Mytilus edulis: one gene and its partner. The protein of the gene in region 1 interacts with the protein of each later gene in a pairwise test. Links are inferred from orthologs where the notes say so. Each region holds a gene or a part of one and is shown in the gene's direction. Other genes may lie near its edges. The genes, in order: ubiquitin-conjugating enzyme E2 variant 2-like and uncharacterized protein.

Region 1 (11,254 bases):
TAAGTGTATTAGCATTGGCATATCTCATAACAATTGAGATTATTTTTGACCTCGCCCTCTCAATTATGGTTTATTGATTTCGAAATTTTGCTCAGTTTACATGTATTAGTTTGTGTTTAGGTCTGTTTAAAGGGAACTACTTGTTATAAGTCAATGGTATTTGGTATGCAGTTGTATTAGCATTGGCACATCTCATTTCCATATAGAAATTGTTTAGCCATGACCATTCAGTCATGGTTTATTGACTTTAAATAAATATTTGCAACACCTAAATGTACATGTTTAGGTGTTGCTATTTTAACATTTAACATTTGCATTATCAAAATTACAAAAAAGCGAGACATATCTCTGTGATATTAGAAAGGGTCTCAGTAGCCGAGCGGTCGAAGAAGTCGAGTCACTGTATCACTAGCCTGTCAAAATTGGTTTTGATTTCGAATCCCGCTTGACTCCAATCTAAATTGATCAGGATTATCAGAATTCCTATGCCGAATATCGGTGGTTCTCTTGGCACTCGTGTTTCCTCCAGAAACAAAACAAAAAAGACAGCCACGAAATAGAACAATAGTTCTAAAAGTGGCGTCAAACAATAATCAATAAATTAATCATTTACAGAGAGTACGTCCTATTCTGTTTTTTTTCTTCACTGCAGCAATTGATTGTTTATCCCTTCACTTTTTTCATAGAGTATGTTGTAGGTATATTTCTTTCATAGAGTAAGTTGTAGGTATATTTCCATAGAGTAAGTTGTAGGTATATTTCCTTCATAGAGTAAGTTGTAGGTATATTTCCATAGAGTAAGTTGTAGGTATATTTTCTTCATATTTTAAATGTAGTTGATAGAATATTTAAAAACAGTTTTATGTGAAATCAAGGATTTGTATAGTATACTATACAAATCCTTGGTGAAATGGATAATAAAATTTTTGAAAGTAACACAATCAATAAAGTATTTAGATGTCTGATGAAAAATTGAAAGAAAGCATACAAGTGTGATGGGATTGCTTCCCTTAGAACATGTCGTAGATACTTAGGCAATTAAATATTGGGTAAGTGCAACGGCTACTGGATTTCATTACCCGCCATGATCACTCAATGTTCTTATAGTTGCGCAAATATTTATTAGGTTTAAAGATGTTACAAATTATTTAAATCTTTTAAAGATGCCCTATGCATTATTGTCCAATTGGTATATTTTCCATTTCGTATTAAAACATATTTATTCCTACTCCTGGAAATTCAAAGTTAAAACAAATTCAATGGTCATGCATGTTAAAAGAAACAAGTTAGACTGCACTGTAATTGTATATTCCTCCCCAATATGTTAATTGTCCAACTTTTAATTCTTGAATAAAATATAAATGTACTGATAGTACATAAATGCTATTTCAAATAAAGGGAGGGGAAGTACGCGACTTTTTTTATAACTTTAAAGAGGCCCCTCATGGGGGGGTCCTAGTAATCACATAATCACCATTTTTTTGCCAATATAATCACATAATCATTAAATATTTGCTTATCTTTAGTAATCAAATAATCATAAACTAAAAATACAGTCCTAGGTAATCAAATAATCATGAAATTTTTGGCTTAATAATCAAATAATCATTAAAAAAAACGGCCAAGTAATCACATAATCAAAAACCCCATGAGGGCCCTCTTTAAACTTCAGAAATCAGATGGTATTTAAATGATGGAAAATAACGCAAAACCCTACTTTTTTATAAACTTTTTTCTACCGTGTGGTGTTACATAAGTGTGAACAAGTTTAAGATGATTTTGCAGCTGCTAGATTTGGTTAGAATGTATACAAGAATAAACAACGTAAACAACCGATTTCAAGAAAACATATAATTGTTTATCCAGAGACTGTTTATCCTTATAAAAAGAAGTTGATTTCTGGAATAAAACTTTAATATATACATGTACAAGGCAACAAAAGAAATAATTACAAGGCAATGCATTTTGCATATAATGTAATTAGATTAGATGTATGTTTCATTATAATACACTATTCTGATTGGCTGACTGCAATCTCACATTATTCCTTAATCAACTTCATTACACAATAAAATTTATCATTCATGATGACACGAGGTCCCACAATAAAGTGCACATGTAAATAAAAAAAACTTGGTAAAAATCGTGTTTTCGTGATCCTAGCTAAAAAAAAAAGTAATTATAAGTATTAAATGCTTCTTTTTGTAACTACATTAGCGGTTGTAAAAGTGGTGCCCGTGCTAACATTTTTAAAATGATCTTCGGTCAACGCTTTTACATCCCAATGAAGTTACAAAAAGAAGCATTCAAATCTTAAAATAATAAAATTGGATACAGTGTACCAAAGCAAATAATTCACCAAATGTTCTAACTTTTACAGTGTTATTTTCTTCTCAAAACCATTGATTTAAGGCAAAAACGCGATTTTTTTTGGTTGTTATTTCAAAAATCGTATTTTTACCCCAAAAATTATAAAAATCGATATTAAAACTTAAAACTTTAAATTTTAAATATTGAATCACTTCGCAGGTATTGAATACTTAAATCTCATCTTTGAAATGAAGTGCCGACTTTTGGCATCATTTTCCGCAAAATAACTTTGGCCCGTCGGTGTTTAAAAACTCGGTAGATTCTAACTTTCCAATTTGGTCAGATTATTTTAGTCATATGTATTTGCCTTGATAATGAATGTTTTCTATTGGATAATTTAACAGATTTCCTTACCTATTATATGTTATGATATCTAGGATTACAAACGTGTGTATCGTTTCTTTTGTTGACATCGGTATTTTTATGAAAGTAGTTGTTTTCCTGTATGAAACTTGTAAAAGTAGTTGTTTCCCGGTTTAAACTTTTTAACCACAATAAGTATACAATAAGAATAACATCAAATAAAAGGGCTTTTGCATTTAGTGTAAGAAAATAATAGATAAAGACAATAGTAGTTTACTGCTGTATAATAGCCACACATCTATTTAATATCTAAAACAAATCTGGTCCACAAACCAAAACTGTGACATCAAATATAAGAGGAAAACAATGGAATAACAGAAACACTGAACTGCTACAAAAAACAAAGGCCAGCATACATTGCACATAGAAACGGACTATTTGATAACAACAACTGCCAAATTCCTGACTAGGTACAGGAAATTTTAAGAAATAGAATAGGACTTTGTATTCTAAGTTGCGGGCTAACAAGAACCATACAAACGTGGGATAAGCACTGTACATAGAGCTTTTTGCCGACAATAAAGACACATAAAACATACACATTAGACATACATAAGATATGCAATAGCAAAATGTTCCTATAAAAACATCTGCACAAACTAACAAAGCACTGAACTACTTTATAAGCACATGCACATCTATTTCTTCAAGCTGCATAGAATACTCCAAAAAATATCAAATCATCAAGATCTGCTGGAGCCCCATGCGCATGATCGAGTTGTCTTTCCAGTTTTTGATAATACTTTTAAACTGGTTCATGTTCGTCTGCGAACGGATCTCGCCAGGTAGCTTCTTTCAGAGTGAAACTCCAGTATGAAGCATGAATTAACGAAGACTAACATTTGTGTTCTCTCCTATAGTACTTCAACAGTGCAATGCATTACGTACATGAGGGACATGTACATCACCCCATGCCGCTGAAATTATATTCGTTTAAGAACAATTAAGCACAACTTACTTATAAAAACAAATACGACCATACATATACATAACAAATGTACATTTGAAAAACTAACAAAGGAAGACATGATTTGATGTCAATAAATGATTAACTTACCGATATTGGCTCTGTGTCTTAAAAAATAAAAAAAAATGGGGGACAAAGTAAATATGTTCTCTTTCAATAAATTGTATTTCTATGAAATTGACAATCCGGCGACACGTTTGAAAATCAAACGCTTCCAACTTATCATCCAAACCAGAAATATGTGTATATATCTCTCTGGTATTATTAGAAGACCATTACAACTATAATGACTGTTTGGTACAATTGATAAGTCGATCTTTTCGCACCTGAAGACTGCCGGCAAAACATATCGGCACCTAAAAAAAGAACTAAACCCTAAGCGAAACAGTGATATTTCACGATTAAACGACAGAATAGATTAATTATAACTATAGCGTACAATTTAACCCACTGATTATATTTCAGTTTTTTGCATATTTTTGTACGTTAAAGTTGAGATACAAAATTAAAGAAAAATAGTGGCAGGGTATTTATCCATCCCTCGTCAATAACAACAAAAAATCCGGACACTAAGTACATATCTGAGAGTACTTGGCTTGCAGTTACCGATATAGCTCCACAGTGTTTTAAAGCCCCAAAAAATCATGTACCTTAGACCAGAGACATATAGTACATCAATTGTATTATATGTCTCTGCTTAAACTAAATTGAGTTTAATATAAACACATTCTTTCCATTTAATTGTATTTAACGTGATTATTTATTTTTGACAGTAGTATTTTGAAACGTATATCATCTTAATTTTTCTTATTTTATTAAAAGTTTGTTTTATAAATATATTTTCATGTTTTAACCCCTGGACAAAGACACACTTATATCCAAAGTTTTTCTGGCACTGAAAAAAATAACCCCTGGACAAAGAAACTTTATTCTATTTTTAACAATCTAGGATTTTCAAACCTAGCTGGGGGAAACTTTTCTATTAAACAATATCTACCAAGTATTAAACAACGAGTGATTGATCAGTGCACACAGGATCAATCATCAAAAATTCATGATTCATCAAAACTAAAATTTTATCAACAATTTCATAATTCAAAGCAGCGTAGTTCTTATGTTGATGTTCTAAGTAATAGATTAGAAAGGTCATCTCTGTGTAAAATTAGATTGAGTGCACACAATCTTGCTATTGAAAGGGGCGATGTTTAGGTTTAGCCACTGACGAACGAGTTTGTAATGTATGTAAATCAGGTGAGGTAGAAGATGAAAATCACTTTTTACTGAAATGTAAAAAAAATTCAAACTATAGATTTAACTTTAAAAATAAGATATTAAATATACTTCCTACATGTTGTAGTGAAAATCAGCTAAATATTAATAGTTGTATTAATAGTAATTCTTTAAAAGTCCTGAAAGTGACTAGTTCTTATATATATAAATGTCTGATGTATAGAAACGAGATTTTAGTTTCTTAATTATAACATATTTAAATACTAGTAACTGTATGCTGTATTCATTGTTGTAATGCACTGTAATATGGGCCTTTGCCAATTATTGTAATTGTGTTTGTGCCAATAAAATATTTGTAAAATATTTGTATTTTGTATTTGTTTTAGAATTTTATTATGTAGGCTATACACGTCGATTTGTCATTCATTACCGGAAAGAACATTTTACACGTGTAATTTATTAAACGATAGAAAGCATTGGGAATCCAGGTTTGCAACAAAGGACAATAAAATACTCTTAAAGAAGACGGAACAATCGATTAGGAAAATCTCTTCACTATAAATCAATATGTCCAATACGGTTTTTACAAAGTATAAAACTGTCTAGGGGTCGATATAGTAACCAAACTTTTTTTGTACAATTTCAATTTTTGATAATGTAATTCATTCATTGGGGGGAGGGGCAAATTATCGGTTTAGGCCACAGGCACTCGTATCAGAACAGTGGCGGATCCAGGGGGGGGGGGGGGTTCCGGGGGTGCGCACCCCCCCTTTATTTTTGCCGATCAATGCATTTGAATCGGGACATATGTTTTGCACCCCCCCCTTTGCCCTGGGTGCCCTGGGTTAGCACCCCCCCCTTTCGAAAATTCCTGCATCCACCCCTGCAGAATCCCCCCCTTATATACCTGTTATATTAGGTATATGAGAAAAAAAATTCTGAGACAAGTGCCTGTGGTTTAGGCTGTGACATTTAAAAAAAAATTCTAGTGCATGCAGGTTTTGTCGACTTTTCTCCCAAACACAAATAAATTTCTCCCAAACACAAATAATATTTTACACCTGTGACGAATAGCACTCATCCGGATTCGCCCCATTCCTAACTCGGTTCTGATATTACATATAGCAACCATCATGGCGGGTTCCACAGATACAGGTCGAGATCAAAATATCTATTTTTCTAACAGTTTTGCAGAAATTTGTTTTAAAAAAACATGTCAAATGACTTCTATAACACACATCCTAATACTTGACATCTTGAACGAGAGCCCTCTATGTAAATCTTGTTCGTTAAACACTTTGGAATTTCACGCCGGTTTGGTGTCTCCCATTTTCACAACATCATGGTATTTCTTTCATAAAGAATTTAACCAAATTTTGATTTAAGGACACATTTTAAATGTTATTCTAATGATAAAAGGGATAGACTTCGTTTAAATACCCTTTTAACTCAATAAAAGATGCAGTGGTTACATAGTTTACACTAAGAATTTCCTGTTTTAGCCTTGTTAGTGATTCATGATCTTGTTTTTACTAGAGTATAACCAGATACACACAGCAAAATGATGCTGTGCTACCAACTCATTTAATTTCTTCCAAATCATGTTTTGGACCACATTCAAATCTTTTTTCAACAATATTTATGCTCATAATTTACATTTTTAATACAGTAGAGGGACAAACAGACCTTTGTCATGATTAAGATATTTTAGTGTGAATAATGGGATATGGCTTTTATTTTTGAAGGATTTCAGAATAAAACCTTATCAGGACTCGAGAATAAATGATTTTTTGTCAGGAATGTTGGATGACAACCCACTACCTTTCCTCACAGTAGAATCGCCTGTTTCGATATACATTTGTACAACAGTTGATATCATAAATTGCATTACCTAATTACTTCATATCCATAATGTTACTGTACATGGATATTATTTGTCTTGTGCCTGTTTAGTCAAAACAAGGGGTTCCCTAATTTGGAACACATCTGTCAAATTCTCAATATCAATCAGATATGGTGATCATGAAGTCACACCTACAGAATATTGCATGAACTAAATTACATGAACTGTAAAAGTACATTTATGACATCAATTTGCTCCCTTTTACCCAATTATTGTTTTTTTTTAGTTTGCCAAAGACTAGTCATTGTAAAGATCTTAGTTACTGTTACTGCTTATATTAAGTTTTGAATAGTGTTTCTTTTGCAACAGACATGGCAGTTGATTCCTGTACAATTTTCAGAAATAATGTTTTTGGTAGAAACTTTTGAATTTATTGATAAAAGTACCGTTAAATAAACATGATAAATATGTATCATATTTTTTTTGAGGCACCAGAAACCTCTAGGACAAAAAGAAGTAGCTGTAGCTTACGATTAAGACATGGATATTTAATCACATACACAATCTATGACAAACAAATGAATTATTTAAAAAACAACTTTTTTCATGATTGAATTATTCATTATCTTATGCATGTTACACATAAAACAAGGAGATGTGGTATGATTGACATTGAGAAAACTATCCATCAAAGTTGAAATGAAGTGCATGACATGTAAACAATTATACTATGAGTATGGCAACTGTATAGCCTTCAAAATGTTTAAATTCACAGTAGCTACATTTTATTCAAAAAGATAAACTATGTTAGGAATAATATCATTCAAGAAAAGGGGTGTTATGAAAAAATAGTAAAAACAACCATGAAAATTTGAATCAACCAATATTTGCCAGTATTGACCACTTGGGGAGTATTATTCGGGGCGGTAAATTCCGGTAAATACCAGGCGTGGTATTTACCGCCCAACCTTGGAAATAGCTTTTCTTCAATCAAACATTAAGCATGTTATTAATTTACAACAGGTAATCCATTTGATATCCCACATGTACACAATGTATACTAGCTAATGTAGGAAGAAAAAATACTATGATTATAATCTTGATTTCATTTACAAAACAAATGTATGTATTATGAAATTGAGAATGAAAACAGGGAATGTGTCTAAGAGACAACAACCAGGCCAAATAGCAGAAGGCCACCAATTCAAGGGTCTTCAACACAGTGAGAAAATCCTCTACTCTGAGGCGGGCTTCATGATCAGCTGCCTTTAAACAAAAATGTGTTAAAGTTCAATGAAAATGTATGATGGATTAAAACTATACTGATCCATGTTCAGTGGTGAAAAGATTTTGAAGAAATATTGATAAAAAATGTTAGGCTCTTGACTCAAAACTAGGGTCTACTATAAATATGTTTGCCACAAGGAATAAAATAAATCCATCAGTTTCTTTGTTCTCCCTAGAATTTAAAAAAGCACCATTGAAATTATCATAGCAGCACTGGTTTTCCAAAAACAATAACGTACCATGGCCCCAGGCTCTATACAATCTGTTATAAAATCCAAGATAGAACCATGGTAGAAAATATAGCATGCTGGGGGCAAACACTAATTCAATTTTTTGTCAAAAGGGTGAGTCTGAATTTCCATCACAAATTAATGACAAAATATTTTTAGACTTTATTTTTTTTATTGACAACCATTCAAAATATTACCTAGACAATCAAATCAATACATATTAGTGGAAGATACTTCATATAATCATTATCTTGTCTAATGAGATTTTAATATTGACTAATTGTTAATACCCTGTGTACAGTTAGTACCATTACTTCATACTTTGCTGGTAACAATGTAGACCCACGGCTAGTACAAAATGTACCATCAATGGAAAACATCACTGATACAATGTATTTATTAAAGCAGAACTGAAACTCTTCCTTGTTTGACATTTATTGTTAGCTTTACAAACTTTTAAGTAAGACTATAATCATTAACAAAGTACTGTAAATTCAGAAATTATTGTGTGTATTTATTATTGCGATTTTGTCAGTTTAGACTTAAATGCAATTTTAATTTTTACGATTTTGAAAAAAATCCTGTTTAACATGTTTAAATAATATTGCCTTTACAACTCTGTCACATTTTTCTCAATAATAAAAACGTCGCATTAATTTCAGAATTTACAGTACATGCAATTCTGAATTCAGTCTAATTATATAACATCACTCTGAATGGAGTTTGCATGAGTAACTGTGAAATATCTTTGCGATTGCCAATGAGACATTTATCAACTAGAATCAAATGATGTAGATGTTAACATATATGTGTTTATTGAATAATCTGTATATTAAAATAACAAGTCTAAAAGGGTATATATACAATAATATATATAAATATATATAATCATGAAATACATAGTTGAGTCCCCAGGTGTAAAGATGACAATACTAAGCAACTGATTACATTATTTTAATCCACTTCTCTAAAAATTGACAACTTCTCCAATTTCTCTGCATGAAGAGTCACATCTCCCTCTCCAAATATCCTAGATAAGAACCTGCATAGTTGTATATTCATAGACAAAGTCTGCGTTTCCACCATAAATCACTAAACAGTCACAGTTACAGTTGATGGGGTTCGTGTTGTTTATTCTTTAGTTTTCTATGTTGTGTCGTGTGTGCTGTTGTTTGTTTGTCTTTTTCATTTTTATCCATGGCGTTTGTTTTAGATTTATGAGTTTGACTGTCCCTTTGGTATCTTTCGTCCCTCTTTAACACATTTTCACAACTTTGTTATACATGTATATACATGTACATGTATGTCAGTCCTCCATAAACTTAATTTTTATGTTTTATGTTGCAGTGAAAGTACCAAGAAATTTTAAATTATTAGATGAGTTGGAGACTGGACAGAAGGGTGTTAGTGACGGCACAATAAGCTGGGGTTTAGAAAATGATGATGATAATACATTAACACACTGGACAGGAACAATTATAGGACCACCAAGGGTAAGATAGGAAAAACTACTGGCATGTGTTTATACCTTTTAGGAAATGTTCATTGTCAACACTCAACACCTGCCCAATTTAAGTAACTCCTGCAGACATTCATCTAGTACAAGTCTGCATTATCTGTAATACTACATATAAATATACCAGTTAAAAAAGTAATACAGGCATACACATCTGAAAATGTCAATTATTAGTGAGTTGAAATCATAGTTTTAGTATAATTACATGTGTATTAACTGATGTTTCACAATGAAAATGTATCTTTAAATAATGCCAGAACAATACATTTGAATGAGGACTGTAGTGGGTATTTTGCACAGAAACATTACTGAAATGTTGAAACAGAAATTTTCAATTTAAAAAAAAGAGTTTTCTAATGTAGGGTCCATTCTTGATAATTCTTTAGTTTTATTACAACTCAACATTTCACATTTTTCAGTTTTCAAATATTATATTACTTATATTGCAATGACCTTGTTCATTCAACAAAAATATATCAGCCACACCATTCTCAGGAATGCCTTCAGAAATAGTGTGCAGCTTGACAATGATTACTACATATGATGTTGTAACATGTGAATTTTGAATTGATCAGCAACTTACTTCCTGTTTCCTATTGGTTGAATAAAAACAAATATTTTTGTCACACTTTTCTGAGGGACTTCTTAACAGAAGGTCATAAGTTATGAAGAGTTTATGCTTTCCAGATCCGTCGGGCAACTACGAAATTCCAATATTTTGAATTGCTTATCAGGGTTATATATGCTTAGCATGACAAACCATGCATTCTTGTTTAGTTATGAGTACCACTGATTAGACATCATTTGTTCTATTCAGTGAACTTGGTATCTTTATATTACTTGTATTACACTGTTATTTGATATGTATTTTATATTTTTCAGACACCTTTTGAAAGTAAAATCTATACATTAAAACTAACCTGTGGTGAATACTATCCAGACAAACCTCCAATAGCTAGATTTGTATCCAAGTTAAAAATGACGTGTGTACTTGATTCTGGCCCTCAGACAGGTTTGGTAAGTTTATTAATCAGTGAAACAAGGAATATGAATTTTGTACAAAAAATGTACCTATAGAAAAAAAAAACTCACAATTCATATGACATATTTGTATCTGTAAAGTAGAATTCACATTAAATAAAAGGTATAGGATAAACATCATTGAAATCATACTGAATATCATAAAATAAAATGTATAGGATAAACATCATTGAAATCATACTGAATATCATAAAATAAAATGTATAGGATAAACATCATTGAAATCATACTGAATATCATAAAATAAAATGTATAGGATAAACATCATTGAAATCATACTGAATATCATAAAATAAAATGTATAGGATAAACATCATTGAAATCATACTGAATATCATAAAATAAAAGGTATAGGATAAACATCATTGAAAGCATACTGAATATCATAAAATAAAATGTATAGGATA
Region 2 (12,024 bases), on another chromosome or scaffold:
TGAAATTTGCCTGTGTACCTGCGTCAAAAACGCAGCTTGTGCGTAACACTTATGGAACATATTTACTTGCAATCTATATCAAGTTTTTTAATTATTAAAAAATAACACACATACTAAACAAAAAAATATATAAAGATATCTTTGTTTTACTTACAGCTTGCGAACTGTCCTGGATATGTGGGCTTAATTATTGGTTAGAAAGTGAAGAAAATTCTAGGGAAAAGAAAAATGGCGGAAGCCGCATATTTCTATCTACAATGGTTTAAGGAATTACCAAAATATTAATCAGAAATTATAGAACAGTCAGTTTAAGGACAGTACGTCGTCTATAGACATGTAATAATAAAGACTGTCCCTGATTTAAGTATAGAAGGTGATGAGCCATATTGACTTCAACGCTTTGTTTTTATATGCTTAGAATAAACTTAATATTAACCTATTATGTTTTCATTGCCTCTGTATTGCCATTGCGTGACTTATTTGAGAGTTTCAAAAACAAAAAGGGCAACCCTAGGTATAACATTGCCCACTCTAACATTTTTTACCATATCAAGTTACTGAAAATTGAATATCTATATATAATGGTCTAAATATAATTATGTCTGTTTTGTTCACGCATCGTTGTAAATATAACGGAATTTGATGAGACTGTCGTACAAGTGAGAGGTTTAGCGCTATAAAACCAGGTTCAATCCACCATTTTCTACATTTAAAAATGCCTGTACCAAGTCAGGAGTATGACATTTGTTGCCCATGCGTTTGATGTGTTTTTGTCATTTGATTTTGCTATGTGATTTATAGGGACTTTCCGATTAAATTTTCTTCGGAGTTAGGTATTTTTGTGATTTTACTTTTTAAAATGAAGATGTTTGTTCGGAATTTTCCCCCGCTTCTTCTTTCATTAATTGAGGTTTTACCTCATTTTTTATTTATGCAATTATGAAAAGGTTTCTGTAATAAGTTCAAAATATGATGTAATGTAATAAAACATTGAATTGAATTGAATTGTAATGTACTTTGTTAACTCATCTAAAAAAAATTAATATGCATAGAGGAATGTTATACATGTAAGTATTAAATTCACAACGATGAACCGAATGCGAGTGTAAAATTATAATCATTGAAAAAGACAGACGACAGCAATGGAGTGATAAAAAGTCATCAATGGGATGATACAATACATATAACTCGAAGAAAAACAGAAAATACCATGACAGTGGTAAACAAGAACAACGACGGAAAGACAAAGTGAAAGTCTTCAAAATACGGAAATTGAATAACTTCATGAGCGAAAGAAACTCCACCAAAATACAACGGGGTTGCTAATAGGTTCTTCAGAAGGATATTAAACCGCCGTGTTGGACCAAATGCACGTGCCTCAGAATTTTTTTTCTGGAGTATATCATTGGTCATTTGTGAAAAACACATCTGAATAATAATAGCGTACATATATAACAATTACATACGCTGCAGCTGTATAGTTATAGCCATATCAAAAACACATCTGAATGGGTATGTTCGTCACGAACGATGCCGGAACACGGAATTGTTCGGTTTCCTAATAGACCGATTCTTCACTTGACCTTTGCAACACGACGGTTACTACTGCTAAAATCTGAACCAAAATCAGTTTGTTCATCGGTCTTTTTTTCATGATATAAATAGAGATGTAGTATGATTGCCAATGAGACAACTCTTCACAAGAGACCAAATGACACAGAAATTAACAACTGCGTGTATATAGGTCGCCGTACGACCTTCATCAATGAGCATAGCCTGCATAGTCATATATAACAGGCCCCGAAAAGTCAAATGTGACAAAATTAACGGTCTAATCAATGTACAATATAATAAACCAAAAACAAAAATGTTATACACTAACATACGACAACCACTGAATCACAGGCTCTTGACTTTGAATGTCCCTCTGGTATATTTAGCCTCTCTCTTATCTATCTTGTACATCAATTTATCGACATTTTCAATATAATGATTCTCTATTATAATAGTTGAAAACTACCACTTCTGATTTATCTCCATTTACTTCAAATTTACGAAGCACATTCAATTTGTCACTATCTGGATCGGGATAGTTTTACCCTTTCAGAACGTATGTGATCACCCCATGTTTTTGTGTTCGAATTGCTTGGTCATTAGTTTCTATGTTGTGTTTTGTAGATTGTTGTTTTTCTTTCTTTTTTTTTTCTTTTTTTTTGTCGCCGAGTTGTGAGGTTTTTTTTTTTCCTTTACAATTTTGAATCAATATTATATGAGTATCGTCAAAATAAAAAATTCAACATTACTAAATTTTATTGGAAAAGGATTTTCGAATGTGAAAATCTTTAATCAAATCATTAATGAATGTATAAAAAAAAACAAAGAAGAAGAACGTCTTCCTGTTTCACCCCAGAACTAGTTAATTAAGTCACCTTTTCGTATTTAATTATGTATTGACTTCCCAAGATGTGTTTATAGGGTACATATAGAAAAAATTACATGGATACAATTTAGAATTCTAATATCGCGTCCTTATTACGCTTTGTAAATAAAGCCGTGTTCTAATGAGCACAAAATATGTTTGACACATGCGCACGAATTTACTGTTTATATTAACGTTATTTCAATCGTTATCCATTAAAATATATACATTTAAGCAGCTAACGTTATTTCAATCGTTATCCATTAAAATATATACATTTAAGCAGCTAACATTAACTTTTATTGTATATTTTCATTAAACAACATATATTTTCACCGCACGTAGTTTTTAAAAACTTATCAAATTTGAAATGTAATGTACAGACTCCTCGGGGAGGAAACGGGAATAGCCAAAGATTTTTACGGTATTTTCGTACGCTTCAACTTATAAAAATACAGTATTGGTCCTATTAGAATCGAAATAATTCCTTCATGTCATGCTCTATGCTCATTTAAACATGGGTAGGCATGTAGGCTAACGCTCAGTGTAAAATATCGACAAATATAATGCCTACCCATGTTAAAATGAGCATAGAGCATGACATGAAGGAATTATTTCTTAAGGAGTAATTTTGCTATAGAATGGAAAAATGCTGCATAACTTTTCTGTTTTAACAAGGATTTTTATAGTAAGATTCTTATTATACAAATCCTTGGTCATGTTGGTTTCATTCTTTAGAATTATCACTAAGTTTTTTAAGTGTAAAACTATGGTCGGATGTTCTAATTGTGGATAAACTAAAAAGTAGCTGTAGATTCTACATCAATTATTTTCAACTTTACCGTTGGACTTTGTAAAAAATACGGAAAGTCGGAACAAAAGTTATATCTCGAAGAATTTATAAGCCTGGTATCTTGGATGATTTTGCTTAATTGACTATTTTCAATCAGGCTCATCCGACCACAGAACATAAAAAATAAATAACAATTGATGACGAGATTAAGAAGTGTGTTTCCATTCTCAACGGAACTATCACCAACGTTCGCAAGGTATGAGATATATTCTAACCTAAAATATGTCCGTCAAATATATTATAAACAATAGTTCAGAGTATTCATTCACGACGAAAATACACATTTTAAAGCAATCGGTCATTAGAGTGATCAGTAGTATGATAATTTGTATAAGAAAACAAAACTTCACCGGTAAATATTACAATAATATTGCATATTACATATGTGATAAGGTAGAGGCAGGGGTGTCCCCTTTATTTTTACTATATAAAGCTAGCTTAAGTGATCCTGTCCAGTTTTTATTTGTTTTTTATTTACATTTATATTCCAATCCGTAAACTTTGGATTTTTTAGCTTTCCATTGTATAAAGCACCCTATATTTTTCCGACGTAGTCGCTATAGTTTCGGTTTGTGCCCTTTGAACTTAAGGACGCTTAACTATGGCAACAGAATACGCATGCTCGAAAATCCTTTCTGTGATTGAACAAAATGCTGTCATGGTTTTTTGATTTGGTTGTGTTTGAAAAAACGTCTCGTTAATTATATCGTGATGGAAAGCAAGTGAAAAACTATCATATTTGAACTAGATCTTACAAAGATTTATATTTTCATTGAAATAATTGTTTCTCCAATAGCTCTTTGCATCCGTGACAGATGTGTATTGGGAACAATTATATAATTTTTAATTTAAACTTTGTTGTAACATAAATTCGATTTTTTCCTTTGATGTTTTTATGAAATAATTTGCTTAAAAAGTGGGGTGAGGGAAAACCATGGTATATTATATGCAAATTTATGTTGTACCATACTTTGCTAATTAAATATGCAACTCGACTATAATCCAAAGGAAAAAAGGCGGAGCTTCAGCCATGGTATAACATATTCATTTTCATGTTATTCCATAGCTGAAGCTCCACCTTTTTTTTTTAAATGTATCCGCCTCTAAAATATTTAGGAAACTGTAAAACGTACTAAAAGGTCAAGATCTTCATTTGTTTTCATTTTATAAGAAAAAGCACAAACTATATAGGATTATTACGAATTCCCTTAATTTTGGAAACAATTACTAAATGTTTCTTCTTTCAGTTTTGAAAAAAAAATAAAATGTAAAACTATCATTTCCTTTGCGAAAATTCAATTAAATTTCGATTTAAAAAGGGGGGTACCTATACAAAAAGGAATAAATATCGGCTACAAATATCTGTGAAAAAACATGATTAGGGGACGTACACTATCTACGCCCCTGGATTCGCCACTGTTAAAATATTGTTTTAGTCATTAAAATTGTGTTTTAATAAATAATCTAATAAAATAACGGAAGAAAAGCATTTTTCAATTAGATGAAAATTCTGTAAAATATGATTAATTTGTATGATACATTGAAAACAAAACAAAAAACCAATTCTTACCGTCATTAGAATAATTATTTAATCCTTGTCGCTGGAATCCGACATTTTTGTTTACCTCAGTCTGATGACATTATGAAATTACCTGCGCCTACAATCATACACGGGGCGCAAAACTAAAAAGAAAATCGGGAAAATCCGACATTTTCTTTACTTTCTGCAAATTCAGGGGATCTATTACATGAAATACACAGACGAGACAAAAGTGACTTGCGCTAGCTTCCATTTCATTGGATAAAACTGTAACGTGATCAATTTGCAATATTAGTTGAAGGTCTTGAAGCTGTCAATCATTTTATTTATATTACAAATTTTATATACCATGTGTCTTACTCATTAACATATTTAAACAAACTCATCCTTCGGATTCGTTTGTTTAAATATGTTAACTCGTAAAAACCATGGTATATATAGTACTTGTACGAACGTACATGACTTTTAGAACGCAGCTACGCATGTGAGATTTCCGCCGGGTTTTGGTGAATTTAAGGATGTACTTAGGTGAGGTTTTGGAATATGTGTCAAATGTTCAGACTCCTTGGTGTTTTTCCATACAATACAATGAAAAATATTTTGCCCCATAACACCCATTTATTTTTTCATATAAGACTTAATAGCTCATGAAAGGTTATTTACCAAAATTTTAAAAGATTCTTGATTTTCTTTCTTTTGTTTTGAGACCCAAATAATACCAATGCAAATATAAGGTAAAAGTCTGAGTCAGCCTTTTCCCGCCATATTTTAAATCTCAAATATCTCGAAAAGGAGGTCCATGACCTATTAATATTTTTAGGTTATCTTTATCGTTAATTGATGCTCTACCAGCTTATAGTATCAATTTTAATTTCTTAATTTCTTAATTTTTACCTAATCTCACCTAAGTACATCCTTAAACAGAAAGATACGAGGACCGAGAATACTGAACACAAACAGAGAAAACGTTATTTAAATGGTATCTTTGTGCTTCTGAAGGTTATCGAAATAACAGTTTTAAACATATACTCAAATTTAAATACGTCGGATATCTTTTTTAAAGATAGTTCTTGTTAGTTTTAGTTGTGTACAGTAAATCTTAAAAATAAATATTACTATACAAATCCTTGATAAGGCCTAGATACTTTTACCTTTTAATTGCGTAAATTATTTTATCAGTCCTTAAATATTTTAGATTTTATCCGTGTACAGCGAATCTAAATTTTTTATGTTATTTGTTGAAAACTTTTAGTGCACACAATATAAGTTTTAATTAACTCCCGTCTGCATAATATCCGTTGCGGAGGTGTTCCATAATTGGAAGTATCTACATGTAGAAGAAGAAGAAGAAGAAGAAGAGGAAGATTGCAAGACGGTCACTGGACGCGGACCTCACCGAAAACACCCTTCCAAACGCGGACCTCCACGAAATCTCCCAACTAATTTGCAATAAACTATACATTATTAAAAAATGTAGAACAGACTATACTTGCTTAGAACGCCATCTGTTGTCAATGAAACTGTAGACACGTGATACCGGCGAAATTTGTTCAACTTCCTTTTTCACTTTTCTGCCACATGGTTGCTACCCTCTTAGCCATTTTCTCACAATTTTCATCAGAAATGGCTGCCAACAACGAAAGATCTTTCATCATGGTTAAACCTGATGGTGTTCAAAGAGGGTTAACTGGCGAAATCATCAAAAGATTTAACAATAGAGGCTATAAACTGGTTGCATGTAAATTAGTTCAGGTGATATATTTTCCCAAAATGTCAAATGCATTAATTATAAAAAAAATATATTGTGTAGAGGTGAGTTCAATGTCAGCTCTCAGACTACATGAACACACTAACATATTACAGTTTAACTGTTTAATCCGTGGGATGACAAATACATCTATAAATATTTCTATTCAAGACAACTTGAAGGAATCGGCTTGAAGCCTTTCTGCGCAGGGTTCAAAGCCAAAAAATATAAATATAGCCTTACAACTCTTGAAATTCAAGACATAATTATTTAGAATAAGTTCAATTATTCAGGTGTAATGATAAGTCGTTATCCTAAGGCTAATTTTTTCTTATTTTTCTGTACACTTAGCTTTCATTTTTTATTACCATGCATTGTCAAGCTTGGTAACTCATAATTATTTGTCAGTAACTAAATGTACGATGCTGTCCCATACTGAACCTTCTGACCTTGTTTGTTTACATTTAAATTTCAATGGCGTCAAAATCACGTGATGTCAATTCGTTCTACCCAATCAAATTGCTCTACTGTCAATTAGGGGATTTTCCAGTCTACGGCAATTACGTTATTTCTTTGTGGGATATTGCTTCAAAATAGTTTGCAATAATTTTGGGTTTTATTCAACAGGAAAACTCTTTTTAGCCATCCCTTTTGACATCAGTGGAATTCTGTATGAATATTTATCTATAGTCATGATGGTCAGAATATCGATCTTTTTATAATGAATAAAAAGAAAATTCTATGAAAAATAAATGTTAATTATTTTTCATTAACCTACTCTATATTCCCGTACAAAATTATGGCATGGGCATCGTTTTTTTCAATTAGTTTTCCTTTTATTTGGTTGGGTTTTTTTCGCGGGAAAATCGCGAAAGACGTAAGGAGCATGTCATTTTAAAATTCCTAAAAATACGATTTGCTTGACCTGTATTGCCTGCCACAAGATTGATGACGCTGAATGGAATGTACACAAAGCAATGGAGGCCGGAAGTGGGATTTTGTGAAGTTCTAGAATGCTTTTAGACATTCGGAAGTCGGGATTGAAACGGGCATTAGAAATTTGGCATTTTTTAGCAATAATTGAGAACAACAATGAAAACTTACCTTCAGAAATGTTTTTTTATTCAAAAGTGCAGAAAAAACGTATTTTACATTGTTTTTCTACGCCGGAAGTAGCGTAGTGACGTCAATGCGGAGTTTCCCGGTGTGTTAAGTTCAAACACAAATACCTAACGAACTGACAAGATGAACGATTTTAGACTACGGTAGGATACCTAGTCCAAATAATTATGTCCCTCTTGAAAGGTTGTTTAGATTTTAATTCCCCTTGTCAGTGTCCGTACCAGTGGCTGATCCAGAGGTGGCGTAGAGGGCGCAAGCTGGCCCTTAGCTGGGAAACCGTAGCTCTTGGGTGATTATGCTATTTTACTATTTGCAGACCATAGAGCTACGGATTTTCCTTTTTCAAAATGGTTCAGGTCGCACTTATTTAACAGTTTAAAATAATTAATTTGTTTAATACCCTAAAAATATGTTTACCATCAATGCAAAGCTTGTCAATTTATATAGTTCGTTTCTTTAGAAATTGTTTTCCGTGACGTCACACGAGATTCAATATGGCTGAACAAAATAGGCGGAGAATGTATACAAATGGGAATAATTATATAATCAGTGATATTGTTTGCCTCAAATTACAGCCGAAATTCGGCCTTTTCCCCTAGAGAAAATTCCCAATTACTTAAAAAAATGGCTTAAAATTCCTCCCAAAAAGTTTAACATTTTCCCCAAACAGTGATGGCATTGGAAGTAATGTTTGTAAATATCGTATTCATGTTATTATTTTGATATTAGAAAGCACTTTTGAGATCCGGTTTTCTGATCAGAATCATCATGGTGTTTGTAACACATGTAGTTTTCAATGCATTAAGTATCATCATTGCTTCTGTTTCTTTCTCTCTCCGAAAAGTACCTTCCAGATTGAAAATGTCTGACAACCAAAATATACATGAAAAAAAACAGTGTAAAAAGACAGCAAAGCCATGAAATCATCAGTGATGGATTTAGAATAAAATATACAAATTTCCCAATTTCAATACAATTTATGCATTTTTCCCAATAAAAAACAGTAGAGGTAGTTTTGAAAAAAAACAACAATATCACTGATAATAGTGTTTAGGAAATGAATATTCAATCATAATTCGGTACGTTATATCCAAGAAAAATATCTAATGAAACGAACTATATAAATTGACAAGCTTTGCATTGACAGTAAACAATATCTTTTTGGGAAACAAGTGTGGCCTGAACCTGGGTCACAATTCCTAACGTTTTGAAATACACTGGGGTAAAGCTGATGACCGTAACTGCATTCACGGTCATCCCAAGATGTCGGATGAAAAATTAGGTCAGTTTCTGTATTGTCTGTTAAAGTGTTTCTATATCATTTTCTTTACAAATCATACATTGATACGATGTAAATTTATAAAAGAATCACTCGAAAATCACTAATTACTTCCGAGAAATGTGCATGAAACAGGAAATTCGATTTGAAAAAATCGTTAAGATGACCGTAAATCATAATCAAAATATTTTCAAGATGACCGTAACATAAAACAAGGATGACCGTGATTGGTAAAAAGATGACCGTAACTTGTAAAGGATGACCGTAATTTGTAAAGACTGACTGTAATTTATATAGGACGACCGTAACTTTTATAGGATGACCATCAATTCTAAGAAATATCCGTATTGTATTCAAAGCTTTTTTGTTGAGTTTTCGATCTCAATAGGGGCTCGGTTAGCGAATATAAATATGTTTCATAAATTTCTTTTTTTAAACTATAATATAATTGGCCATATTTAGGATTTATAACAATGATAGTAAATTGCATATTTCTTGTAAACAATGAAATATTTATTGATATCGACGTTAAAATTTTAACACAAATTTACAGCGATACGACGAAAATTTGAAGAAACATGAATGTGTCCCTAGTACACTGATGCCTCATCTACACTATCATTTTCTATGTTTAGTGGACTATGAAAATGGGACAAAACTGTAATTTGGCATTAGAATTAAAAAGATCATTCCATAGGGAAAATGTGTACAAAGTTTCAATTTTATTTAACTTGAAGCTGGACAAACGGACAAACAAACAGACGAACGGACGAATGTACGCACAGACCAGAAAAACATAATGCCAATAAATGGAGCATCAAAAACATTAATAATACATACGAATATTTGGTAATCGAGCCCATGTGGATGGGTCCAGAGGAAGCAGATTAAAATCTTAATTTGTCTTGATATATGCAGGCGGAAACACCTTTGAAATAGAACAAAAGAATCGAAGCTCTGTGTTTATCGAGAAAGCGTAATGTTTGATATAGTAACAAAATTTTAAAAAGTTAATAGAAACAAATAAAACGACAATTTTCTTATTTTAAAAACACCATTTGCATAAGTTTTCAATGTATCTATTACATAGTAATGCAAAATAATAAGATATCAAGTCGACGACATGGTTCTTATCGGGGCCTTATATAGCTGACTATGCGGTATGGGCCTTTGCTCATTGTTGAAGGCCTTACGGTTACCTATAGTTGTTAATGTTTGTGTCATTTTGGTCTTTTCTGGATAGCTGTTTCATTGGCAATAATACCACATCTTCTTTTTTATATATAGTATCTATAAGTTGGATGTAGAAAATGCATAACCTCCGATTTTTTTTTTATCACGGACGGAGAACATATCAATCTTTTAGTTCAGAAATTTTCGTGTCTGCCCTTCCATTATGTGAATCAAGAAAAAATTACCCAAAACAGGTAATGATTGTAACGAAAAGAGAAAAATCAAGTGCACCTTTTTATGTTAGGGCATGTTTGGGGTGTATATTTTGTCTTTAAAACGTACAAAACAAGAGTATTTTATATAGCATCTCGCTTCAGATTCTATCATTATTATATATCAAAGCTACAGGTTGACTTTATAACGTAAAAAAATGACAGTACGAAAAGATGAAATATATGGTTTTATTGAGATACAATGTACCTATCTAATGAATCACAAAAACAGAGTAGGTGTGTTCGAATAGCTATTTTTTCTAAAAGTACTTGACGACAGTCTTTTAGTTTGGATGATGAAAATGTGTGTGTGATAACTAGGGTTTATAATCTTCAACCACTGAAAATGTTTAGTCTGCCCTTCCACGAAATATTTAATTAGAATTTTTTTAAATGCTTAAGAATTTTCAAAAATTCCATCTGACATCCAAACAGACAATATTTTTAAGTTGAATCAATGCAGACAAGATCATTAACTAATGCTCATTAGCTAGTAGATACATTTGTATTTTAAAATATAACTGACATATAACGATCGATCGTAATGGTGCTATGTGGATAAATTTATCAGTTTTCAAGAGCAAAATTGGCAGAGCGTCATCCCTACAATGGCTTCCATTTCTACGACTGTGAGCATGAACTGGCGTAATGGGGAGATAATTTTGAAGAAGTAGAATCCCGACTGTATGAATAACATTTCTGTATATATACAAATTGACAACGTTCCGCCTTGTGATACGCTTTTCGTACAATACTATTTTAAGGATCTACTTTGCTGGAGCTCACCTTCACTAGTTTATTCGAATGATATTTTCAAAATATTTCTGTTATTTTATTTGCACGACAAAATGAAAGACGATATAATATCAATGGGTGTACATGCAATTTTTTGGCATTTTTAAAAATGTGTATTTATTATATGTCATTAAAAGGAATCCCAGAAACAAAAAAAATCTTTTGTCGAGCAGTTGAAGGCTGTGCACCGCATGTCTTTTGGCAAATTCATTTTAAAAATTGAACCCTCTAGCTAATGTAAAAAAGATACATATGGTTATCTTTGCATTTGAAGCACGTCTTATTTTCTTCTACCTATAGGATAAAACTTTCATATTAATATGTGTATACCAACACGATTAATCATTTGATACAAAAAGATAGTTATATAAATACGGATATTTCTAAGAATTGAGGGTCATCCTTTAAAAGTTACGGTCATCATTGACCAATTACGGTCATCTTAAAAGCAGTTACGGTCAGCCTTGTTATGAATCGCTGATTCTGTTACGGTCATCTCGATTGTGATTTACGGTCATCTTGGCGATTTTTTCAAATCGAATTTCCTGCTTTATGCACATTTCTCAGAAGTAATTAGTGATTTTCGAGTGATTCTTTTATAAATTTACATCGTTTCAATGTACGATTTGTAAAGAAAATGATATAGAAACACTTTAACAGACAATACAGAAACTGACCTAATTTTTTATCCGACATCTTGGGATGACCGTGAATGCAGTTACGGTCATCAGCTTTACCCCAGTGAAATAGGAAAAATTCGTAAAATAGTAAAAAATAGCATAAGGACCTAAGAGCTACGGTTGTGCATCTAGCCCGCCCTTTTT

What was found.
Region 2: the proteins of ubiquitin-conjugating enzyme E2 variant 2-like (region 1) and uncharacterized protein interact in a two-hybrid assay, tested with the Caenorhabditis elegans proteins (2 studies listed by BioGRID). The link is inferred for Mytilus edulis from reciprocal best matches to the Caenorhabditis elegans genes uev-1 and ndk-1.

What each region holds. Positions count from the first base shown.
Region 1 is NC_092348.1:73,765,658-73,776,911, reverse strand, and holds the start of ubiquitin-conjugating enzyme E2 variant 2-like, read left to right. Parts: upstream 1-5,978; 5' UTR 5,979-6,063; coding exon 6,064-6,085; intron 6,086-9,637; coding exon 9,638-9,783; intron 9,784-10,688; coding exon 10,689-10,823; intron 10,824-11,254. UniProt on the Caenorhabditis elegans protein: Involved in protein ubiquitination, but has no ubiquitin ligase activity on its own. The uev-1-ubc-13 heterodimer catalyzes the synthesis of non-canonical poly-ubiquitin chains that are linked through Lys-63.
Region 2 is NC_092351.1:1,683,930-1,695,953, reverse strand, and holds the start of uncharacterized protein, read left to right. Parts: upstream 1-6,315; 5' UTR 6,316-6,390; coding exon 6,391-6,564; intron 6,565-12,024. Other genes in the region: alcohol dehydrogenase class-3-like, read left to right, coding at 157-187.